4 linked regions of the Schizosaccharomyces pombe genome follow. The gene in region 4 interacts genetically with the main gene of each other region. Each region holds a gene or a part of one and is shown on either strand. Other genes may lie near its edges.

Region 1 (4,789 bases), on a different chromosome or scaffold from region 4:
CAACAAATTCAAGGCTGAAATCCGAATGATGTTTTTTAGTGTAATGATAGAGATCTCCTCCCATACAATAATTCTCTACGAGTATTAATTCGGCGGAGGAAACGTAGTAATTTAATAGCTGCACAACACATGGATGCGACAAAGTTTTGAGGGCCCAAATTTCTTGCCGAAATACTTTTACTCTAGCTTTTTTTTCGTTTTGAGACTTGGATGATAAGTGAGTATGTTTTAGGACGATGGAAGTATCAAACTTCTTATTATTAGATTTGACAAGCAGTACTTCCCTTTGTTCCGTAGAGGTGATTTTAGTATTTATAGACCACAAATATTTCTCATTCTCGTCTGAATATAAAGCATATCCTCTACTTCTGCCTAATTGAAGAGAATACAATGATTTTTTTTGTATATTAGTTAAGCCAAAAATTAAATCGGAAAAAGTCTCTAAATCTCTATTAAATGGAGCATAGTTAGAAATTTCTAGTTTAGTTAAATCGTTCGTCAATGATTCAGATATATCAGTCTCAGACGGAAGAGCTGAAATATTCGGATTTACATGACGAATTTTATTTGAAAGAGGATATAGTTGCAGCGATTTTTCTTCGCAAGAATGTTTTTTTTCAGACATTAAAAGCCCATTCTTCCTAGATAGGGCTCAACTTTCTTCGAAATATACAAAATTCCAAAAACGGCTTCGATAGGATGAAGTCAGGTACTGACGCATATAAAAGGTTAGGATAGGTATTCTAAAAATGCTTATTGACTAAGACTGCCACATTGATTGACAGTTTAAAAAAAAAAAGAAAAATAATGAAAACTAAGCATTACATTTCATGGATTTCAGCTATCACCATATAGACCAGCTGCACTAGAGTCGTCCGAAGAGGGAGAACTATCTTTTCCATAGATATCTGAGTCTTCTGGTAATTCTTTAGATTCCTCTTCATTTTCTTCTTTTCTCTGGCTTTTAAATAATGATGTTTCTTCTTCTTCTTGGGAATAGGGTCCACTGGCAGGAGGAGGAAGAGGAGAGAGATTGTCTTCAGATGGATTTTCGACAATATTGGAAGTATATGGTACGCTGTTAATGCTTGGAGAGTAAGAATCTACTTGAGGAGAATAAGCATCATCACTGTTTGGAGAACTAGACGGAGGTGATGTTGTTTCTACATTATGTTTGCCAGCAGTAGAACTTTTATCTCCAAAACCTGCATCGGTCAAGGTAGAGGTAGCTGTTGTACTTTCCTTATTCTCTAAATTAGAAATTATGGATTCAACAGATTTTAGGCTCTCTTCTTCCTCTGAAAGTAGCTTTTTTTGTTCTTCTATAAGCGATTCCAAGGAAGTAATGAGTGTGGATCGGGATTCGATGCAAGCCTGATAATTACCTTTACATGATTCAGAGGCTTTATTTAGTTGCTTTTTATAATTATCGAGTAGTTCAGAATAATCTGATTGTTTCTCCAAGTATGATTTATACAATGCATCTACCACAGTTTTGGTAGAGTGAGCAGATTTTGCGTATAAACTAGTTTGTGTCATTAAACGAGTGTAAGGTGCCTATGCAATTAGTAAAGTTCTGATATTTTATTTGAATTGCGGCATACCCATTCCGGAGGGCCAACGGGGTAATAGTTAGAATGGCCACTGTTCTCGGCATTATTAAACCTTTCCTGCAAGGATAAAAGTATCTCCTTAGAAAATATGCCGCGTTGACACCAAACGTCAAAAACGTATTTGATTTTTGTTTTAATGGAAGCAGGAACTGACGCGTACGCGTCAGCTACAGAGTTTACGACATACTATGCAAATATTATTAGAATCTAAACCATATAGGAGATGTTCCAAGCTCATAATGATAGTAACTTACTGGAGAAACGGCATCAATATATTCAGATATTTTTTTGACCCGGGATTGTTGAACGACTTCGTTGAGCAGGTAAAGCAATAAAAGCTTTTTGTTGGAAGAAGCTGGTTAAATTAGTTAGACAATCGAACAAATTCCTAAAGGAGTCATACATTCATACAAAGCTTCCAGCCATATTTGGACAATTTCATCAGCATAACGCTTGTGAAACATAACCCAATGCGCTATTCCCGTTATACTTTCTTGTGTTTCATTTAGAGTAGCCAACTTTGAAGAAACAGTGTCTGGAGTCAAAGCCATCTTGTTTTATGCTGATGGTGAGTTTCTTACGACACACTGCTGTTAGCATCGCAAACGAAATCATAAGCATAAGTAATAAATACTTCTTGTATAATATCAATGTTTTACATTATAGCCTATACTTAAAATGATTTTGAAACAACAGATTAATTAGTTTGGGTAGAGCAAAAATCTTCGTCTCATTTGTAAAGATGGAAAAGAACATTTATTATTCTCAAACTACCCAGTTTTCTCCAAGATTCCCTCTTAAATATTAGGTATATAAAATACATTATTCGTTTTCTCATGATTTTGTTTAGTCTCAGCAGGTCATCTTAGCTAACGGCTATCACTCACTGTAACATTTACAGTACGAGTTTTGGTAAGAATGCTAGACGAAATCTTGTGATGTTATATGTTGGGGATTATGAAAAGAAACTATTCGGCGTGTTGAGAAATGTGTACGGAGTGCAAATGTGTGTTTTAATGACTTGTCTGAAGCAGGAATTACTATATACTACTCACCGCATTGAGACTTTGTTTTTGCTTCCCTTGTATTACTATAAACTATGGCATATACTTACGTAAAAAATTATATAATAAACTAATTGTTCGTTTGAAATCGTATTTATTTGTCAACCGGGCAGGCAAAGCAGTAAAGATGTTCTGAAATTGAACGATAATACGAGTTTCAAAAAAAATAAAAAAATAAATGAATAAAGTAAAATAAATTAACTCCTAAGAACAAAGTTAAAACGGGATGACTAGTAGTAAGCAAAATTGTAAATAAAAAGTGCCGTAAGAATGTCAACGTATAAAACTAATGTTCATTTTCTGCCAATGATAGTCATTTCACCTTTCATAGTAGTTATTTCAACTTAATGGATGCAATCTCATTCTGCGTAGCGTCAAACTCAGAATTCATGTCGTTTCGCCAACACTCTATACCAGAAATATATCATTGAAGGACTTTTCAAGTCTTGTATTTGCTCATTCATCTATTCAACAATATAACCCATATATTAGAATACCAATCTCAATTGCTACTTATATATTACTTGCGAATTACAATATAATAGATCACTAGGAAAACACCGTAGTTCTACGTATCGTTAAATTAAATACTTGCGTAGCTAACATTATATCCTCTTAACGCATTTGTTGTAGCTATGGGTTATATTATTTACAATTAATAGCTTGAATGAGTAATATACCTTTTCTTTAAATATTTCGTGATTATTTAGAGCTGTTGAGAATCCCTTAAGAGGAATACAATAAAGCAGGATAAAGAAATGTTTTTCTATTAACTTTGTTATGCATGTTTGCAATCGAAGTTTGTTTTTAAACAAATACTCCTCTATTCAATAAATCTAACTTTGTAATAAGTTACCTGCAAATAAGCCATTTTTCTTTTATTTTACAGATAAAGCCCATTTTCATTATCTGTATCACGTACTCCCAGTGTGAAGTTACTTAGGTTACCTTGTTTCTTAATCCATCAAAAACTCTTTTCTTTGTCCTTAGCATTCTTTGTTTAAAGTTGTATATAAGGGGAACTTGAGAGATTTGAATTTACTTACAACACATATATTAAATATTGCTTTCAACACACGTTTGTACTTTTATTTTCCAAGATTTCCCTTTCTGAGAAATATTTGTCAATTAGTAAACATATAAGGCAGGCTACAAAAGATATCATTTGTATAGTTATAGTGAATTGAAATTTTATCGTTAAAAAGAATACTGCGGTTTATTGCAACTGGTTTTGTATAAATAATAAGGATGATGTCGAACGAGAATTTTGATAATGACTACAATCTGCCACCACCAAATGATTCTGCGGAAGATTTAAAAATTTTCATTGAAAGATACGAGAGATCTGTAGATTCTACATTGTTAGAAATTGACGAAAACAAAAGAGAAGCACTTGAAAAAAATATATTGAGGAATGAGATCGTAAAATGAAATATGAAATTGAATGCAATGAAAGGCTACAAGGATGGAAAAAGTTAGCGATTGAAAGGGAAATTTCTGAAGAACAATCGGGAGAAGTACAATTTCCACGCTGGATAGATGAATGGGCAAACACTAAACTAGGTGGAATTTTCGAACGAATATTTTCTAAAATGGACTCAATGCAAAATGACATGAATTCTCGGTTTGACGCTATGCAGAATGAGATGACATCTATGAAAGGCGAAATGGCCGAAATGAAAGTTGAAATGGTTGAAATGAAAAGGGAAACGATCCGTTTGAACACTAGAATTGATTTACTCGAACAAAAAACTGAAGCAAGGTTTCAGTCAATAGAGCAGCGATTTAATTCTATTGACCAACGATTTGACTCTATGGAGCAGCGACTTGACTCAATGGATCAGAAAATGGAAACAATTGATGCTCGCTCATGTAGGTCGATCATGTTGACAAGAAAGCTTGAAAATGCAACTCGTTCAGACCAAGGTTATTTGGCGTCACCAGTACCATTTCTGAATGGTAATGAGCCGGTTAGTAGTGGATTACCGCCGATAGAAAGAGTCGAAGACATTGACGAATTGTCAAAGGAACAGTGTGTCCAATATCTTAAGGGATACGGTATAACGTTTAGTCCTGCTGAGACTATTAAGTTGAAAAAGCGACTTCGTGATA
Region 2 (8,735 bases), on a different chromosome or scaffold from region 4:
AGTCTTGCAGAATTTACGTTAAACGTCACTAAAAACATTCATTTTTTTGAATACCCCCTAATATAAGTACGATGTCAATATAGCTTTTTCTACTTCTTGTATAAAATTAGTTTAATTTCTCTTGATACAGCTTAACTCACTCCATATTTCAACTCAGTCATAAGTTGTTTAGCAACGGCTATAGCATCGCTTGTAAATTAACTCACTTTGAAGTCTGTTATTCTCAAGACCTGTTTACAACAATATAGTAAATGTATTCTAAACTGACCACAGTCTAACGTATCTCTATTATCAATTAGATATTACGTAGTTGATAATACAGTGAAACAACGAGTCCCCCACATATAGACTCGACCACCACACCCGTTTGTAGTGAACAGTGAGTGTAACTCTACACGCTGGCTTAAACCACAACCCCAATTTTAAGGGGAGTTATTCATAAATGTGAAGATGTCTGCACCTCCATGGCAAACTTCAGAGTACGATGAAACTGAGGGATTCACGTCTAATCAGGAAGGGCCGTCAGCAGCTCCTTCCAAGACTGTGGCCTCTGACTGGCATGAAGTGAAGACAGAAGATTCTCGAGTTTATTACTACAACTCAGTAACGCGCAAAAGTGTTTGGGAAAAACCAGAGGAGTTAATGAATGACTTTGAAAAAAAGCTTTCGAAACTAGCTTGGAAAGAATATGCCACCGCTGATGGCAAAAAGTATTGGTATAATGTCAATACCCGTGAATCAGTGTGGGATATTCCTGATGAATATAAAGCTGCCCTTGTTGATGAACCGGAACAGCAAAAAAAGGCTTTGTCGTCTAAAATCAAAAGCAATGACAACAAGCCAGCTGTTCAAAGCATTCAACGGCATGGTCCGGATGTTGCTGCTCCTTCAAGTCAACCAGCTAAAGATCAAAGCCAACAAATTTCACAAGGCAGTCATAAACGAACTATAAACTTTGTTCAACAAAAGGATAAGCGCCAAAAACGTTCTAATGATTATCAGCACGAAAACTATGATACCTATGAAGCCGCAGAGCGCGCTTTCTTTAAATTTTTAGACTCTCATAATGTCAACCCAAGCTGGACTTGGGAGCAGACTGTCCGAGAGCTTTGTGATGCTAAGGGCTATTATGTCATGAAGGATCCTTGGCATCGGAAATGTGCTTTCGATGCGTACATCTTAAACTATTTGACCGATCAAAGTGATGCAGAAAAGAACCGAGTAACTAAGATTAGGAAGGAGTTTATTGAGATGCTAAAAAGTAGTGATAAAATTCATTCTTATACTTTGTGGCGTACTGTGAAGAATGAATTTTCTTCTCATCCTGCTTTTAACGCTACTTCTTCTGAAACTGAACAACAACAACTATTTTTTGAATATAAGCAAAAGCTTTTAGAGGATGAAAAGCAGTTGGAAAAGGATCGCAGAAAGGAAGCATTGGATGATTTTTGTTCGCTTTTGCGAAACATGAATTTCGAGCCTTACACCCGCTGGAGCGTTGCGCAAGCAAAATTTGATCAAGATCCAAGGTATACAAGGAATTCAAATATGAAATATCTTTCTAAATTAGATGCTCTTGTAGCATTTGAAGATCATGTTAAGCATTTGGAACGCGAATATATTCTTGACAAACAAAAGCAGAAGAAAGAAAAGCATCGTATAGAAAGGAAAAATCGTGATGCCTTTCGTGCGCTATTACAAGACTTACGCGTGCAAAAGAAGATTACATTACGCACGAAGTGGAAAGAATTATATCCCATAATCAAGGATGATCCAAGATATCTTAACTTACTAGGGCAATCTGGCTCTACACCATTAGATTTATTTTGGGATACGATCGTTGATTTGGAGAATATGTATCGGGAAAAGCGTAATTTGGTTTTGGACTGTCTTGAAGTATTGCAAATATCTGTGGATGACACATCTAATATTCCTGAAATTATAGCAAGGTTATCAGAAAAGCTTAAAGATCGAGAGGAAAGTGAGGCAGTAACTGAAGACCTTATTGAAGAAGTTGTTAATCGATTACGTGATAAAGCGATCCACAAAAAAGCTGAGGAAAAGCGTGCTGATGAACGACGCATTCGAAGGAAAATTGATAATCTCAGAAGTGCCATTAAATACCTTAAACCTCCAATTTCTGCCGATGCTTCTTACGATGAAATTAGACCTTTAATTTCTATTCTACCGGAATTTGCTGCGCTCCATTCCGAGGAACACAGGATGGCTGCTTTTGACAAATATATAAGACGGCTTCGAGAAAAACGGGAATTGGAAAAGCAATACCAAAACAGAAGAGGTTATTATGATGTCGGTAAAGATGAAAGTTATTTAGCGAATAGTGCCCGACCACATAGCGGATACGAAGATGGAAGGTTGGAATATTCTGCTGACTTAGCGTCAAAAAGTAATAGGAATGAAATTAATACGATGCAGGATGTACAGGAAAATTCAATCTCTCATGTTACCGCTACACAACCGGCTGTTAAAAATATTGTTGATGATGCAGAATCTAGTGAAGAAGGTGAAATTCGTTAGTATTCAAGTTAGAAATTTAATTGTTAGTGCGTTTAATACACATGCATTTTAATGTTCTCTCAACTCGCTTTTTGTATTCATACAGTTTGATTACCTTTAGTAGCGGATACAGCCTGTAGCTATTTGAACCTCTACCACCAGTACCTCAAAAATTGTTTTTGTAACAAAACTAGCAAGTTGCTATTAAAATAGCAAAATACTGCTATAAGCGTTCTATTTAATAACGCGTAAGTAAATTTTTATTAAATTTTGTTGCAGCCACAGTTCGTTTTCCGAATTTGACGCTGAATATGTGAATGATCCACGTGTCGCATTTTTTTGTTAAACCTACATTGTTCAATGCACTGAATGTAGCTCTCTTTTTTTAAAAACCTTCTTTCTTATTATGTTTTGCTTGTTTCTCTTGTGATACAATCTTTTTGGTGGCATTCGACCTTTTATTCAAAATTGCTCTTTCTTCGAAAATGAACGATATAGTGCTTCCTATCGAAAAGATACGGGAGTTAATATGTGTTCTTTATTTAAATCTGTTCGGATCTCGTCTAAATATAGTCGTTAGTCAAGAGTTATAAATATTCACATTTAAAGTGGCATCTGGCAGTTCTCAGTTAACTAGAAGTTGGATGGAAGCCTATTACATATTTCACAATTATTCAGCATTTCAATTTCGGAAAAGTTTTGCAATAAGAAATTTGCGAAATTGGTTCTAACTTCTGTTTTAGTTGATATGAGTACAAGTGCTATAGCACTTGCTTTGTCATCATCTAAGGCTATTGAGCAGCTGGATCACGTTCAAACTGAAACCCCTAATCTTAAGCAGGAAATGTCCGAATCCCCTTCGAATAGCGGCGTAGCCTCCAAGCGCAAATTACAATCTACTGAATGGCTCGACCCAGAGCTTTACGGTCTTCGACGTTCTGTATGTCTCACATTATTTTATTCATTATGAAACTTACTTAGATGCTAATCATTATAGGGTCGCACTCGTAGTAATCCAGGAAGATATGTAGACACTGATGATCAAGAAGATGTGTTCCCATCCAAGCATCGTAAAGGTACTAGAAATGGTTCATCTTTTTCTCGTCATCGAACAATTCGCGATTTAGACGATGAAGCTGAATCTGTCACCTCTGAGGAAAGTGAGTCAGATGATAGTTCTTATGGCGGAACTCCCAAAAAGCGATCTCGGCAAAAAAAATCAAACACCTACGTTCAAGATGAAATTCGATTTTCTTCTAGAAATAGTAAAGGTGTTAACTATAACGAAGACGCGTATTTTGAATCGTTTGAAGAAGAAGAGGAAGAAGAGATGTATGAGTACGCAACTGAAGTTTCTGAAGAACCTGAAGATACACGAGCTATAGATGTCGTTTTAGATCATAGACTTATTGAAGGACACGATGGCTCTACACCTTCTGAAGATTATGAGTTTTTAATTAAATGGGTTAATTTTTCTCATCTTCATTGTACATGGGAACCTTACAATAACATTTCTATGATCAGAGGATCTAAAAAGGTCGACAATCACATTAAGCAAGTCATACTTCTTGATCGAGAAATTCGAGAAGATCCGACCACTACGCGTGAAGACATTGAAGCAATGGATATTGAAAAAGAGAGAAAGCGTGAAAATTACGAGGAATATAAGCAGGTAGACAGAATTGTTGCCAAACACTTAAACTCCGATGGCTCAGTTGAATACTTAGTGAAATGGAAGCAGCTGTTATATGATTTTTGCACATGGGAAGCTTCCTCAATTATTGAGCCTATTGCTGCCACGGAAATTCAGGCATTTCAAGAAAGAGAAGAAAGTGCTCTTAGTCCATCAAGAGGTACAAACTATGGTAATTCGCGTCCTAAGTATCGAAAACTGGAGCAACAGCCTTCGTATATAACCGGTGGTGAGCTTCGTGACTTTCAGCTTACAGGCGTCAACTGGATGGCATATCTTTGGCATAAAAATGAAAATGGGATTTTGGCCGATGAAATGGGTCTCGGTAAGACAGTCCAAACTGTGGCTTTTCTTTCATATCTTGCACATTCTTTAAGACAGCATGGACCTTTTCTTGTAGTTGTTCCACTTTCTACAGTTCCTGCCTGGCAAGAGACATTAGCTCTTTGGGCTTCTGATATGAATTGTATAAGTTACCTTGGAAATACCACCTCAAGGCAAGTAATAAGGGATTACGAATTTTATGTTGATGGAACTCAGAAAATAAAGTTCAACTTGCTTCTAACTACTTATGAGTATGTACTCAAAGATCGCTCGGTGCTTAGTAATATAAAATGGCAATATATGGCAATTGACGAAGCTCATCGATTAAAAAACAGTGAATCGTCACTTTATGAAGCACTTTCTCAGTTCAAGAACTCAAATCGATTACTTATAACTGGAACACCATTACAAAATAATATTCGTGAGCTTGCGGCTTTGGTAGACTTCCTGATGCCAGGAAAGTTTGAGATTCGTGAGGAAATTAATTTAGAAGCACCAGATGAGGAGCAGGAAGCTTATATTAGAAGTTTACAGGAGCATTTACAACCCTACATTTTACGAAGATTAAAGAAAGACGTTGAGAAATCTCTTCCTTCTAAGTCTGAACGTATCCTTCGTGTTGAGCTTTCTGACTTACAAATGTACTGGTACAAAAATATTTTAACTCGCAATTACCGTGTCCTTACTCAAAGCATAAGTTCGGGAAGTCAAATATCTTTACTAAACATAGTTGTGGAGTTGAAAAAGGCAAGTAATCATCCTTACTTATTTGACGGAGTAGAAGAGTCATGGATGCAAAAAATAAACTCTCAAGGAAGACGAGATGAAGTCTTAAAAGGTTTAATTATGAACAGCGGGAAAATGGTGTTACTTGACAAACTTCTATCACGTCTTCGTCGAGACGGCCACCGCGTTTTAATTTTTAGTCAAATGGTTCGTATGCTTGACATTCTTGGTGATTATCTTTCTTTGAGGGGATATCCACATCAGAGACTGGATGGCACTGTCCCTGCTGCTGTACGAAGAACTTCAATAGATCATTTTAATGCACCAAACAGCCCAGATTTTGTGTTTTTATTATCCACACGAGCTGGAGGATTAGGTATTAATTTAATGACTGCTGATACAGTTATTATTTTTGATTCCGATTGGAACCCTCAAGCTGATTTACAAGCTATGGCACGTGCGCATCGCATTGGTCAGAAAAATCATGTTATGGTATACAGGCTTCTTTCCAAAGATACGATTGAAGAAGATGTCTTGGAACGTGCACGTCGTAAAATGATTCTTGAATATGCAATTATTTCATTAGGTGTTACAGACAAGCAAAAGAATTCCAAAAATGATAAATTTTCTGCTGAAGAGCTTAGCGCTATTTTGAAATTTGGAGCTTCTAATATGTTTAAAGCAGAGAATAATCAAAAGAAGCTTGAGGATATGAATTTAGATGAAATTTTGGAACATGCCGAAGATCATGATACTTCCAATGATGTGGGTGGAGCCAGCATGGGTGGTGAAGAGTTTTTGAAACAGTTCGAAGTTACAGACTATAAGGCAGATGTATCTTGGGATGATATTATACCCCTAACTGAACGTGAGAAGTTTGAAGAGGAAGACCGCTTAAGAGAAGAGGAAGAAGCGCTTAAGCAAGAAATTGAGCTTAGTAGTAGACGAGGTAATCGTCCTTATCCTAGCTCTGCGGTGGAATCCCCATCCTACTCTGGAACTTCTGAAAGGAAGAGCAAAAAGCAAATGCTTAAAGATGAGGTTTTACTGGAAAAGGAAATTCGGTTGCTTTATCGTGCTATGATTAGATATGGAAGCCTTGAGCATCGCTACAATGACATTGTTAAATATGCTGATCTTACTACGCAAGATGCTCACGTAATAAAAAAGATTGCAGCTGACTTAGTAACCGCTTCACGCAAGGCTGTATCAGCAGCCGAGAAGGACTTATCTAATGATCAGTCTAATAATAAGTCATCTCGTAAAGCGCTGCTCATTACATTTAAAGGTGTAAAAAATATAAATGCTGAAACATTGGTACAAAGGCTAAATGATCTTGATATTCTTTATGATGCTATGCCAACGTCAGGATATTCTAACTTCCAAATTCCAATGCACGTTAGATCTGTTCACGGCTGGTCCTGTCAGTGGGGACCCCGAGAAGATTCCATGTTGCTTTCTGGAATTTGTAAGCATGGATTTGGAGCTTGGTTAGAAATTCGAGATGATCCAGAACTCAAAATGAAAGACAAGATCTTTTTAGAAGACACAAAACAAACAGACAACTCTGTCCCCAAAGATAAAGAAAATAAAGAGAAAAAGGTACCTTCAGCTGTGCATTTGGTTCGTCGAGGTGAATACCTACTTAGTGCTTTACGTGAGCATCACCAAAATTTTGGCATAAAATCAAGCCCCGCTATTAGTACTAATGGAAAAACTCAACCTAAGAAGCAGACGGCTAATCGCAGACAAAGTGGCAAGCCTAACGTTAAATCTGCGCAAAAAATAGAGAGTGCAACTAGGACACCATCGCCTGCAATTTCAGAATCTCGTAAGAAACCTTCTTCTAAAGACACGAAGATTGAAACACCTAGTAGGGAACAGTCTCGCAGCCAGACAGCTTCACCCGTCAAATCTGAAAAAGACGATGGTAATGTAAGTCTAAATGCTGAACAAAAGGCACGCTGCAAAGAACTGATGTATCCAGTCCGTAAGCATATGAAAAGACTTCGGAAAGATTCTAGTGGGCTTGGACGCGCGGAGTTGGTGAAGTTACTTACTGAGTGTTTGACAACGATTGGAAAGCATATTGAAAAAACTGTCAATGATACACCCTCCGAAGAAAAAGCTACTGTTAGGAAGAATTTATGGATGTTTGCATGTTACTTTTGGCCGAAGGAGGAGGTTAAATATACCAGCTTGATCAGCATGTATGAAAAGATGAAGTAGATTTTAGCCTGTCATACAAAAGCCAATTTGTTTCTTCATTTTTCATCCGGAATATTTTAGGTTTGAAGCTCGAATATGTTTATCTTTTACAGTCTTCAATTTTGATTGCTACATTTCAAAGATCACTAAATTCTAGTCTAAAAATCGTTTCTTATTGTACCTTTAATTATAATGTTAATAAACCCTGCATTTCAAATCTTGACTTTAGGAAATCCTCCGGTATTCAGAACATAGAGTCAGCATAGATAAGAATAATCCAGTAATACAATTTGTTTTTAATTGAAATATCAATGGCAAACTGCTATTTATTAGTCTGCAACTTTATGCAGTTTGTAAATATAATAGTGTAACTCAGTAGACATCGTTACCAGTGAAAAGTTCATTCAAACATCACAGTACGGCAGGGTTCACCTTTCACACCAAATCACGTTTATAAATTAGAATGTCTCGTGCGGCCTTACCAAGCTTAGAAAGTACGTTACAAATTATTTAGAGTGGCTTTCGAGTACTATTTATTCGATATGCTAATGTCTATGATTTTTTCGTTGGCCTAAAGACGTTTACTAACATAATGCTTAGACCTTGAGGATGATGATGAGTTTGAAGATTTCGCAACAGAAAGTAAGTACTTTTAAAGAAATAATTATTTAACATCAAAAAGATTGGCCTATGAAAGATACAGAGCTTGATACTGGAGATGATACGCTATGGGAAAACAATTGGGACGATGAGGACATTGGAGACGATGATTTTTCTGTTCAATTACAAGCAGAGTTAAAAAAGAAGGGTGTTGCCGCCAATTAAGATATTGCTTCTGCCAGAGTGTATATCTCCGAAACTGCCTTCATCCCTCAGTATAATTTTAATGCATTAACAAAACGATCGAATACAGGTTCTTTCATGACTCTAAGGTTTTGCTGGTTCTGTAAATACGGTGCAGATAGATATTCTTGTGTTGAAGATTTTTACGTTTAAAGAACTTCAACTTGTCCATATCTGTAAATTAGGTCTATGATACTTATATACGCCTGAATTGATTATATTCTAACAATTACCGGCGAAACGGTACTGCCTGTATATGCGAAATGAAGATAAGCTAGAAAATGTAAAACCTATTTGCATTACTATAGACAATAGCAACCCATGATTGTTCAAATGATGATCATTTCAAATGGTCAAAAGAAGAGACGCGTAGTTAATATGTAAAGGAATTTAAACAAAAACATTGAAGTGTATGAGGCAAAGA
Region 3 (5,273 bases), on a different chromosome or scaffold from region 4:
CTTGACAAGTCTATATGGGTTGGCTATATTAAGGATTACGAAGGTGGCACACTTATGCAATGCACCATGATTCCAAAAATAAAGTATTTAGAAGCTAATCTGATTTTGGCTATTCAGAAAGCTGCTGTTGTTTCCAAAATTAACAGGATCACTCGGTCGAACGTTGTTTATCCTGGTTTAGACGTATTCAAAGATGGTCCAGCTCATATAGAGCCGTCTCAAGTTCCTGGGTTGATGGAAGTTGGATGGTGCAAGGAAATGGAAGAGCTCTCCAAAAAGCCCAGACCTAAACCTTTTTTTGCCGTTTTGGAAATGCTTTTTACAGAAATGCAAAATCATCCGTCTTCCTGGCCCTTTATGCAACCGGTTAGTAAAGAGGATGTACCCGATTATTACGAAGTTATTGAACACCCCATGGACCTTTCGACTATGGAATTTCGGTTGCGTAACAACCAGTATGAGTCTGTAGAGGAATTTATTCGGGATGCAAAATATATATTTGATAATTGCCGTTCTTACAATGACTCCAACACGACTTACTATAAAAATGCCGATAGATTGGAAAAGTTTTTCCAGAAAAAACTTCGTGAAACTGAGTATTCACACTTAGCCGATTAATCATTTACATTTATTATCATCGAAACGTCTATTCCGAAGTTTTATTGATTATAACATATACATTTCACCTTTTAATTTTTTACACGAATATCTTTTGTGCCTTCCAAATATGCTGGCATATCAAGAACTGCTAGTGTTTAATTTTTAGTTTTTTTGTTTAAAAATATATATAATTCTATAATACCAAACACTCTTTATGTTCCATAATAACAAATGTACAACTCATTAAATTGAAAATATGTTATCAGAACAAGTCATGATTTTATTACACAGATGCTTGCATAGATCCAAGTAAAACAGTAACCATAGGTTTTTCGTCAATTCTGTAGTAAGAGTCGTTGGCCTCCACCTCTTCGGACTCCACCGTCGGTTCTTCAAGGTTTTCATGATAATTTTTTAGAGCATCAGTCAACTCATCAATTGGAATGGATGCTTCGGAAAACAGCATCTTAATTTTTTTCAATGTCACTGTATTTTCAACGCATAACCACGAAAGGATAAGAACTGTAGATTGGAAAGGAAACAGTCCATGATCAATTTGTTGGAGAAACCATTTGGTACTCTTTTCCTCCGAATCAGGACTAAAATCAAGTTTTCTGCTTTGGTCAATACCTTTGAGTTGGATTCTCAAGCGATCGTAAATTTTGAAAAGGCGTTTCATTTTTTCAAAGTCATTTTCAATGAATTTCCGTAAAAAGCGCACCCTTTCTACGGTGTCAGCAGGTAAAGATCGAAATAAAGATGCCAGAATAGCTAATATATGTTCCAGAGTATCGGCTGCAGATATTTTCATAAACGCAGCAAAAATATATTTCAAACCGCCTGCTTCTACAAATCGAATACAATAAGGAGTGGAAAGAGGCCCAAATAAAAGATAGTCCAAAACTTTGATTGTAGAATAACGGCTTTTTCCTTTATGTTTCATATTTAGTATGCATAATTCAATACCTTCCTCTTTTAGAAAAAGGGATTTTCCTTTCGTTTCTTGAACCAGACTACATAAGCAATCAAACACGTTTTCCATCATTTCTTCTTCTGATCCTTGGGTTGGATCACGAAGCCTATAAGGACTGATCCGGCGCAACAAAAGATCAATCCCATTCAAGTTGCACACTTTCAATTTAGCTTCTTTTGAATTAGCGAGAATGATAGCTAAAATTTCAACAGCGTACTGCAAATTAGTTGATATAGAAGTTTCATCAACAGACGATCTACTCAGTAACCATTCTACCAATGTTGTGTTTTCAACTATTATTGAACAAATGCTATTGTCCACAGATAATAAATTCTCCATAAGAGAGAGCACACAATATACTCCATGTCGGTCTTCCTCATTAGATTCGTCAAACCTTTTGATTGTATTTGAAAGCAAAGGAAGCAAACCAGAATCTATAAGGGAAGTAAATAAGGAGTTTAATGCGTCTGGGTCAACATCCTCGTCAGTCAGTTCTATCAATAGCTCCAATACCGTAATAGTAATATCCGCATTTTCATGGTTCATTAATTCTAAAAACGTGGAAACACAATCTAATTTAAGGAAAATGGGTATGAGGATAGGATACTCTGAAAGCACATTGAAGCTTCGAATTTCCAGATCAAGATCTGCCTCTGATTCTATAAACCTTTGAGGAGAAGTAGAATACTTGATGCGTAACTCCTGATTATTATTAATTGTTTTTTCAAGTCGTACTACCATGCGCTTCAATTCAGTAGGAGTCAATGAAGCAGGTTCTTCCTGGGCTTCCTGTTCGTCTAAAAAGTCTAAAACGGTTTTTTCACTCTTTTTAAGCCCACTTCCAAAAAATCTACCTCCTTCCTCGTCAAATTCTTCATTCTCCTCATCGCTATTCTCTTCAGCGAGTCTTCTGCGACTACTAGCTGGCTCCAAAGAGTCTGCTTCCTCAGGGTTCCTTTTCTTATTTGTTTCCTCGGTATTTTTAAAAATTGAATCTACATCCATTTAGAATAATGTATTTTTTATGCGCCAGTTTCCTTTTCAAATTGAATATATGAAAACCGTCTGATACAAAATAAATAATTTTGACAAACTTATATTTTATAGCCGCATCAAGTAAAATAAAAGCCTTATGAAAAGACTATCGTGCAATTCAATTATAACGCCTGACTCGTTCCTAAAATTCCTCTCGTTTACCAGTTCAAGTAAAAGCTAGGTAAGATGTAGGCATGTACAAAGTGTATCAAAAGTGAAAACCAGAATCTAAGCTTGGAAAAAAATAATAACAGCAAGTAAATTCCCCTCTGTTTTATAAATATTATACAACTCTTATATCCAAGAAAGGAGAGATTGGAAGAAGGATAAAAAGTGTTTATTTAAGAGAAGAGAAGCTAAATAAAGTGCATGCAGTTAACTCGAAATTTTTTAGGTTGATTAAATAAGGAAGAAATTAGATCCATCTTGTATTACCTTTCTTTTAATTGTAGCAATGACTTTTCAAAAGAGGGTGTAAAAATGACATCCTAACTGTATATATGATAAAATTACAATTATGGATTTTCTAAAGCAATTTAAATTTAGCTATTATCACTAAAACAGTTCGGCAATTTGCAATATTTGTCTAATAAATGAACCATTTGTTTCATAAACAATCAAATTCATTAAGCTACAAATCCTTAATTGTATCTTTAGTTTTGAGTCAATCAACTTACTGGGATCCTATAGCTTTTTTGAATATCATTTGGTAAATTCAAATATGGCTCTTAAAACTTGTATTTAATTTGATAAAATTTCTGTGTCGAGAGATAAATAAATAAAGACAGTTAGAAGTAGATGCTATTCAATTAATAAATAAAATACTCGTCTATTAAGCTTTACGGCTTTCCAAAAATTTATATATCAGAATAAAATATTTCACAATTTTTTTTTTTTTAAAAAAGAAAAAGCAATCTCAATTTTCATTTCCTTTAGTAATCTGCATACCTTTTAAAATTGTGCACCTTTTCGAATTTTACTAAATAACTTCTAACTTGAACTGTCTTTCTTATTCTGCGTTTGGTCTTGTAATCAAGTGTCAAGTCCTTTAATATCAGAAGGAAAAATTATCAATTTATAAGATTAGCATTTACGGGTGTTCAAGTTGTAGCATATAACCAATTTTTTATTGTTGGACGTAAATTCGCATGTTTCAAGCAGAAACAGTATGCTTAAAGCAGATTCAGTCAACATTACGATGCATTGATTTTTCAAAGGAATGTACTATCGAAATCACAAGTCGTGGACTACGGTTTGCAGTGGAGGAATCGCAGTCTTTGCAGGGTAAGACAAGTCGAGTCTCACATCTATGATCGTTAAAAAATTTGAAGCTACTTAATAAAGTTTCATATATTAATGCGATTCTTGAAATGCATTCACTTTTTCTTTATTGTTCACTCACACATTAAGCTCACGCCTTTCTTGATAAGTCGTTGTTTCAAACGTTTAATTTTCAGGGTGATTCAGATGGGGATACATATATGTTCCAGACGATGATTTCACCTCTTTTACAATCATTATCAATTTATACAGATGGAAAAGAACGGATTTCAACTAGTGCCTGGGATCAACCCACTGTAAACATAATGCACAAACGAGGCGTTATCTGCAAAGTACAGTATAATGGACCCGGCTGTCCATTTATATGGGAGTAAGGATTTTATCATTAACATTCTGTACTGACAAAAATAAAGAGTAGAGGAAATGGCTGGTTATGCTACGGCTTGTGAACTGTTGACTATGGAATGTGAGGACGACGTTGACATCAATAGACTTGCAAGCACATTGTGCACGAAGATCATTATGAAAAGTAACTGGCTATATGATGCCTTGGTGGAATTAGACAATAACATGGGCGAAAATTTAATTATTCATACATCATCCCAAAAATCAACCTTCTTATTGAGATGTGTAGGGGCATTATCCACTACGGAAATAGAATATCCAAACGAGAAAAGTGTTTTAGAGTCTTTTGAAACTGATTCTGAAAACACTTATTCCTACCGCTTCTCATTAATAAGACATGCGCTGAAAGCATTACAAGTGGGTTCTAAAGTAAACCTACGTATTGATGAAAATGGAACTTTGAGCATTCAAATCATGCTTGTCGGTCAAGAAGGGCTTTGTACGTTTGTAGACTTTTGTATTGTTCCTTTGGACCTTGTAAGTGAAGATGAGGAGGAGGATGAAGAAGAAGAACCAGCAGAATCTAATCAGTCGGACAATAACGTTTTACGAAACGATCCGAATTATCGAGGAGATGCGGAGACCGAGGATGAGGATAGCTAAATGATAATTTTAGCACTCAGCACTTTAGTGTTTCCGATAACTTCAAAAAAAGAAAAAGGTACAATTGATACTGAACAACTTATGATAATACACTTATTCAACGAATCATGATTTATTTCCCTGCTTTTTGTTTGGTCTTATTTAGGTAGCTTAAAGTCACACCGTTTCCTCACTTTTTCTATGCTTATTTAACACACGTATAAACAAGACGCTTTCCACTAGGCTGTCTAGCAAAGCATGTAGCCAACAAAATTCCCATGTATCATACACACGATTATACATTATGGTTAGATCTACGAAGCATTCAAAAATTCTTCAAACATTATTGATTTTTAAAAAATAGAAAATGCAAAGTGACACTCATAAAACATTTGTT
Region 4 (5,366 bases):
TCTTTTCGGTAAGTCTGGTCGAGCCTTGAAAAACGCCCACTAGTCCAAGCCATGCAAAAATCGTCCAATTCAATAGTGATTCTGAAGCGATCGCTCCAAATAGATAAAATGAAAGCCAAATAAGTTGTTCTGCTAAAAAGTTGGGATGGCGACTCCATCGGAAGAGCCCTGTAGCATTGAAACCACGTCCAAGCGACAACAAGTCATACTTAAACCGAGGTGGCACGGTTTTGTCGACATTGTAATGATTTCGCGCTTCATAGTAATCCCATTGCTGTTGGTCGGCTAGCATTTCTAGCACAAACATAAACATGAAAAGCTCGAGTGCTATCCAATCCCATGCTCCAAATGCTCGTTCGTTTCCAGCCAACATGGCAATATACGTGGGAGATGCAAGCAAATATAGGTGGAGCACTTGAAAGATATGAATGTAAAAATAGTGGAATAATGGATATATCCATTTAGGCATGATTTGGCGAACTCTCACCCAACGATAGTCCTCTGCTCCTCGATTATAACCTCCTTTACGGTAATAATTGTAAGTAAGACGCGCGGACCATAGAGTCTGCAAAAATGCCATAATCATTAATCTTCGCGAAGCAATGTTGTATCCCAAACCATAAAACAGAAAATGCAAGGAAAAAGCCGTTGGCAGAATTGGCCATAGCCGATCCACTTGCGATGTATTTTTCGTCCAAACAGACACTCCCCAAAGCACATTTCCCAAAATAAATGAGAGAAGTAGTCCTACAACAAATGGATTCGTATTATAATAAAAATCTGCAAAATTCAACTTTCCAGTAAACAGTAACTTCAAATTGCTCAGTTGATACAGGTAAGGAGATACTGCAACTTTCCATTTTGCGGCATCAGATGCCGAATAAATAATTGGCATGGTGGATGCCAAAGTCATAGTGCTCGTTTGAAAAAGAACAATGGGAATGTCAGAAAGTTGGCTTTCTATAGCTCCACGAAATCCTCTGTCTCATTGTGACGTTAGCTTCTGGAATAAGAAGGATTAGTGAAATCCAAGGAGCCTGCGTTTTCCAAAAAATAAAATAAAATAAATTTCAAAACAAAAGAGAGAGAAAACCTCAAGGCCATTAAGACATGAGTTGATAAAAAGAGAGGGTGTAGAATGTATGTCCTTATGTTAAAAAGTGACTTTTTAGAAGGAAAAACCAAATTACCATCTGTCAACATTATTTTGCGAAACAGGGAGTCAATAAATTTAAAGCCAAAATTAAGAGACAAATGCCAAGCAATATAAACTTTTCTTTCATTAACATTTGCGAATCAATGCCTCGTGATTTACATGAAATGATCTAGAAATTAAAGCAAACTTCAAAATTGTAAATTAAACCAAAAGATGCATCCTTCTGTTTATTTTAATAAATTAGCCATTTTTTCGGGAGATAACTGTTCATGACAAAATCGAGCATAACCGTCGTATTGTATCCCGGGTAGGCACCTCTGTTTTTGATGCTCCAACATTACATCTTTGGCAGTTTGCTTCATGTTTAGTTTTTGTAAAATATTACTTTCTTGCAACTCAAAATCTTCGGTAAAAATTACCTGCCAGCTTGTGTGCTTTGCACATCTTCGCTTCTCTGTAAAGCAGGTGGACTCAGGAGAAGGATCTATACTCATGTCAAGAGATAGCGGTGCTCCATTTGAAACTTTTTCCCACAATTCATTCATTTGTTGTTGATTGAATAAAAGTCGAGAATCGAATCCACACAGATCTTTCTTAATACCTTCTCTTTCTTTGTAAGCAAGAACCGCTCTCCGCGAAGAATCTTTGATCAACTGAAGAAATATTTTTTTGTTAGATGCTACTTCTTTCTCTTTATTTAATTGCACAATTTCTGCGTTCAGCCTATTGGCCTCCTCAATTTCAAAATTGTACACAACTTCAGGAGGAACTTGGCTTGGCAATGTCGGTCCCACCGTACCCAAATTTTGAAATTCTTCCCTTTTTTTTGCAAACAATACAAGATTTTTTATAGCAGAAGGTTCAACCGTACTCAGCTTTACTTTTTCTCGAAAAAAATCGACTCCATGTTTATCACTACAATAGTTGGAATTAGGTCTTGTGGGATTCGAGCATTCTCGTAACCGGCATTTTCTTTTCCAAGTAGTTATACCCTTTCCTTCTTCTGTGCATTTAGGACAAAAGTACTGTACAGTTAAATCATTATAAGATTCAGGTATATTAACGCAAGTGCCATGAAACCAATCTTCGCAACCATCACATCCTAACATCCATGATCCATCATCAGGCTTTTGGCATATACAATACAATGGTCTTTGATGATCGGCTGTAGACAGATTGAGTTGGCTATTCGCATTTCCTCGGTGTTTTCGTGGACCCCTTCTATGAGCTGATACGGGTGGTTTTTTGGGTATTGTAGGCTGTTGAATGACTTGCATTTCTATGTCTGTTTCCGTTGAGGAAGAATCAACGTGACCGTTGACTTCTTCAACCTCCATTTTAACAGATTTATTGAGAATTACGTTGGCGTCTTTCTCTTCCTCATTGTTAGCTGTCTCGATATGAAAATCAGTAATGGTGCCTCTATTCGAATCCTCAAATTTTACAATTGATTCTACATGAGTTTTTTCATTTTCCTCAGTATTCTCTTGCGTTAATTCCATTATTGGAATTTCAGTTGTCTAAGTCTGTCAATAAGTAAAATCTAAAGAAAGCGAGCTTAAGCACAGTACACTAAATGCATTAAAAGGAACTACAAGCCAAACCAAAATACAAAAGAAATGGGGTCTGTCAAAACAAGTTGAAATTTAAACAAGTCGTATATTAATATCAAGCTTAATTAAAGGAGACAATTATTTCAACCTTGACGGACGAACTAACCATGCCTATATAACTCACAGAGGTTACTGCGGTATCTTCAAGAAGATTAAACAAAAAAAAAAAAAAAGGAAAGAACGCAAATACACCAAATAATAAATATTTTTAGCCCAGATAATCTCATCCAAGACAATCACTAATGTAGCAGAATTGGATAGAAAACAAGACAAAACTGCAAAAGAAGATTCCATTAAATTTCGTGAAATTAAATCAAATACTCATAAACACCCAAATATTAACCCAATTTGCGAAGGCCAGCTCGTGTTCTGTGTAGCTTTTTTTGGTTTGCATATGCTTCATTAGAAAGCTCGTCTAACATGGAGTTTTGCTCGACAACTTCTTGATTAATCATTTTCGAAAGCTCCTTCTGCCTTTGAATAATAGGCAATAACGATTCTGCTTGCATATCTTGATCTTCCATAGTTTGATTCTGCATGTTGTACAGTCCTACATTATCAAGCTTTTTTGTTGTCTGTGTCTCTGGCATTCTGTTTTTTCCAAGGACTCTGTTCAAAGAGGTATTAGATTGTTTGTCAGTAGATGCAGATAATGGGCGAAAGGGAGAACTAGGATTAGAAGAGTTTAATTGAGATGAGGCAGAAGGAGGAGCGACTGGGCTGTTTGCATTTTTAACTAACCGTTTAAATGACAAGAATTCAGAACCAAGCTGTTCTAACATATCTTTTCGTCGAAGGATTTCTCCTGGACCAAGAGCATTTGCTAATTCTAATTTGTCTAACGATTCTGAAAGGTTATCCATTAGCGACTTTATTGCATAGACATTCTTTGTTTGAACTCCTATCGTAATGCTTTTTCCACTCATTAAGTCAACTCGGTACATATGTAAATTACGTTTACAATCTTGAAATACTTGAATCCAATCTGTCGGACCCAAAAACTGACCCTGTGTTTCATCTTCCGATTCATCTTTAATATTTAGAAATTTTTTAACCACAGGCATTTTTATCCATGGCGTTTCTGAAAGGCATTGAACGTAAGCTTGTAAAGCAAGTCGTCGAGATTCACGTAACTTTTCATTTGTCACAGTTGAAGAAACCCAAGATTTAGAGGGGAGTTTGCAAAGTCTACTGTTGTAGTCATTTGGCCGAATTTGAGCATCCAAAGCAACGAATTCATTGAACCGACGAAATACAACATGTTTCCCACCATTCGGAAATGCTACTTCAATATGGTAAACCGTCCATCGTGAATATTCATCAGAAGACTAGTTGTAAGTAAAAATTAAAGGAATAAAGCTTACTTGAGACGTTTCTGGTATTTTAATTTTTAGCGCCATACTTGCTATGAACAGGTTGATCAACAATGAGTTCATGAACAACAGACTACTGTATCGGATTTACTGCACTATCGTTATAAAACTGTATAATGTAGAATTTGAGCTTTCAAATAGTATAGGTTCTATTAGTTGAATAAAGATAAATTTCAGTTTCATGATGCTTTAGATCCTTTAAACCTCATGTTTTCCTTGATGCGCGAGATGCCTTTACGATTATCGAATTGGCAGGTATTGAAAGAAAGTTTACCAGTTTGCAATAGATTTAGAAATTAAAATAATGAATTAGGTTAGTATATTATCTTATACCTTTAAACACTTTATAGTCAGATTATTGAGTATTTTTTTTGGCACTCGTGAACGGTGCAACTTACAAGTAATTACAATACCTAAACAGAAGAACGGCAAAATCTTAACGAAGCTTAGTAATAAACAGAAATTGTTTATTTTCTATATTTTCCTACATGGATTGGTTGCAAGCGCGACTTGCCTAAAGTATTAAAAGCACAGAATAAACGCCAGATCGTAACATTATGCAAAAGTGTAAGTATAGGTAGATTCCAAATAACAACAGTACTCTGATATGCATAAAGATTTTTCACTTAAAATACATGTCATGTAAATATAAAGGCCCCACAGATGATATATAATAGTACTAGTGGAACTTAACAACTGTTTTTTCATATCACGAGAGGGAAAAATATACAGCGAAAAGACTTCTCACATTTGCTTAAAGTATAACCATATACTGCTTTTGAACGATCATCCAATTCAAACTATGCGACCCTAATAGATGAGAATAAAGGACGAAACATCCCACAATGGATATCTTTTAAAAGAGTTCGGAATCAATTTGAAACCACAGTCATTAAATTACATATATTCATAGTCAGTTCCACACATGATGTTCAACTCAGAAAGAAGAAATCTGCCTCCTTCATCAGAAATAAATTCCACCGTGAAAACGAAAAATGAAAAAGAGAAGAAAAAGGGCATTAACCTGATGAAAAAAGTTTGACGTTACCTCACTGAAATTATTGAACACGAGTAAAGACATATAGACAAATTTGGAAAATCCCATAACAGATACAATGAATTAAGATAAGCCCATGAGAACTTCCACCAGGAAGTAAACAACCAACTAACTACATTACAAGAAAAAAAATGATGTAAAAGAAACAGAACTCGAACTTTACAGAG

The links.
Region 1: mutations in spf1 (region 4) and rhn1 together harm fitness more than expected from each alone (negative genetic interaction), as found in Schizosaccharomyces pombe (3 studies listed by BioGRID, with this or other methods).
Region 2: mutations in spf1 (region 4) and hrp3 together harm fitness more than expected from each alone (negative genetic interaction), as found in Schizosaccharomyces pombe (2 studies listed by BioGRID).
Region 3: mutations in spf1 (region 4) and SPOM_SPAC1952.06C together harm fitness more than expected from each alone (negative genetic interaction), as found in Schizosaccharomyces pombe (2 studies listed by BioGRID).

Annotation. Positions count from the first base shown.
Region 1 is NC_003423.3:1,032,913-1,037,701, reverse strand, and holds rhn1 (RNA polymerase II transcription termination factor), read right to left. Parts: upstream 2,181-4,789; 5' UTR 2,165-2,180; coding exon 2,017-2,164; exon of another isoform or gene 1,969-2,016; coding exon 1,868-1,968; exon of another isoform or gene 1,800-1,867; coding exon 1,605-1,799; intron 1,558-1,604; coding exon 838-1,557; downstream 1-837. Other genes in the region: serine/threonine protein kinase Ppk27, read right to left, coding at 1-625.
Region 2 is NC_003424.3:5,375,162-5,383,896, forward strand, and holds hrp3 (CHD family chromatin remodeller Hrp3), read left to right. Parts: upstream 1-2,662; 5' UTR 2,663-2,765; exon of another isoform or gene 2,766-3,254; intron 3,255-3,260; 5' UTR 3,261-3,265; coding exon 3,266-3,457; intron 3,458-3,514; coding exon 3,515-7,489; 3' UTR 7,490-7,752; downstream 7,753-8,735. Other genes in the region: U1 snRNP-associated protein Prp40, read left to right, coding at 451-2,538; proteasome receptor/ubiquitin ligase adaptor Dss1, read left to right, coding at 7,932-7,962, 8,069-8,110, 8,151-8,293.
Region 3 is NC_003424.3:4,974,863-4,980,135, forward strand, and holds SPOM_SPAC1952.06C (uncharacterized protein), read right to left. Parts: upstream 2,788-5,273; 5' UTR 2,579-2,787; coding exon 884-2,578; 3' UTR 768-883; downstream 1-767. Other genes in the region: SAGA complex histone acetyltransferase catalytic subunit Gcn5, read left to right, coding at 1-618; checkpoint clamp complex protein Rad1, read left to right, coding at 3,757-3,892, 4,019-4,259, 4,303-4,897. UniProt on the Schizosaccharomyces pombe protein: Probable spliceosomal component involved in the activation of pre-mRNA splicing.
Region 4 is NC_003421.2:362,821-368,186, forward strand, and holds spf1 (Set1C PHD finger subunit Spf1), read right to left. Parts: upstream 2,663-5,366; 5' UTR 2,659-2,662; coding exon 1,384-2,658; 3' UTR 940-1,383; downstream 1-939. Other genes in the region: SPOM_SPCC594.04C (steroid oxidoreductase superfamily protein), read right to left, coding at 1-913; vsl1 (SNARE protein Vam7), read right to left, coding at 3,108-4,097, 4,134-4,169; bouquet formation protein Bqt3, read right to left, coding at 5,359-5,366. UniProt on the Schizosaccharomyces pombe protein: The Set1 complex specifically methylates 'Lys-4' of histone H3.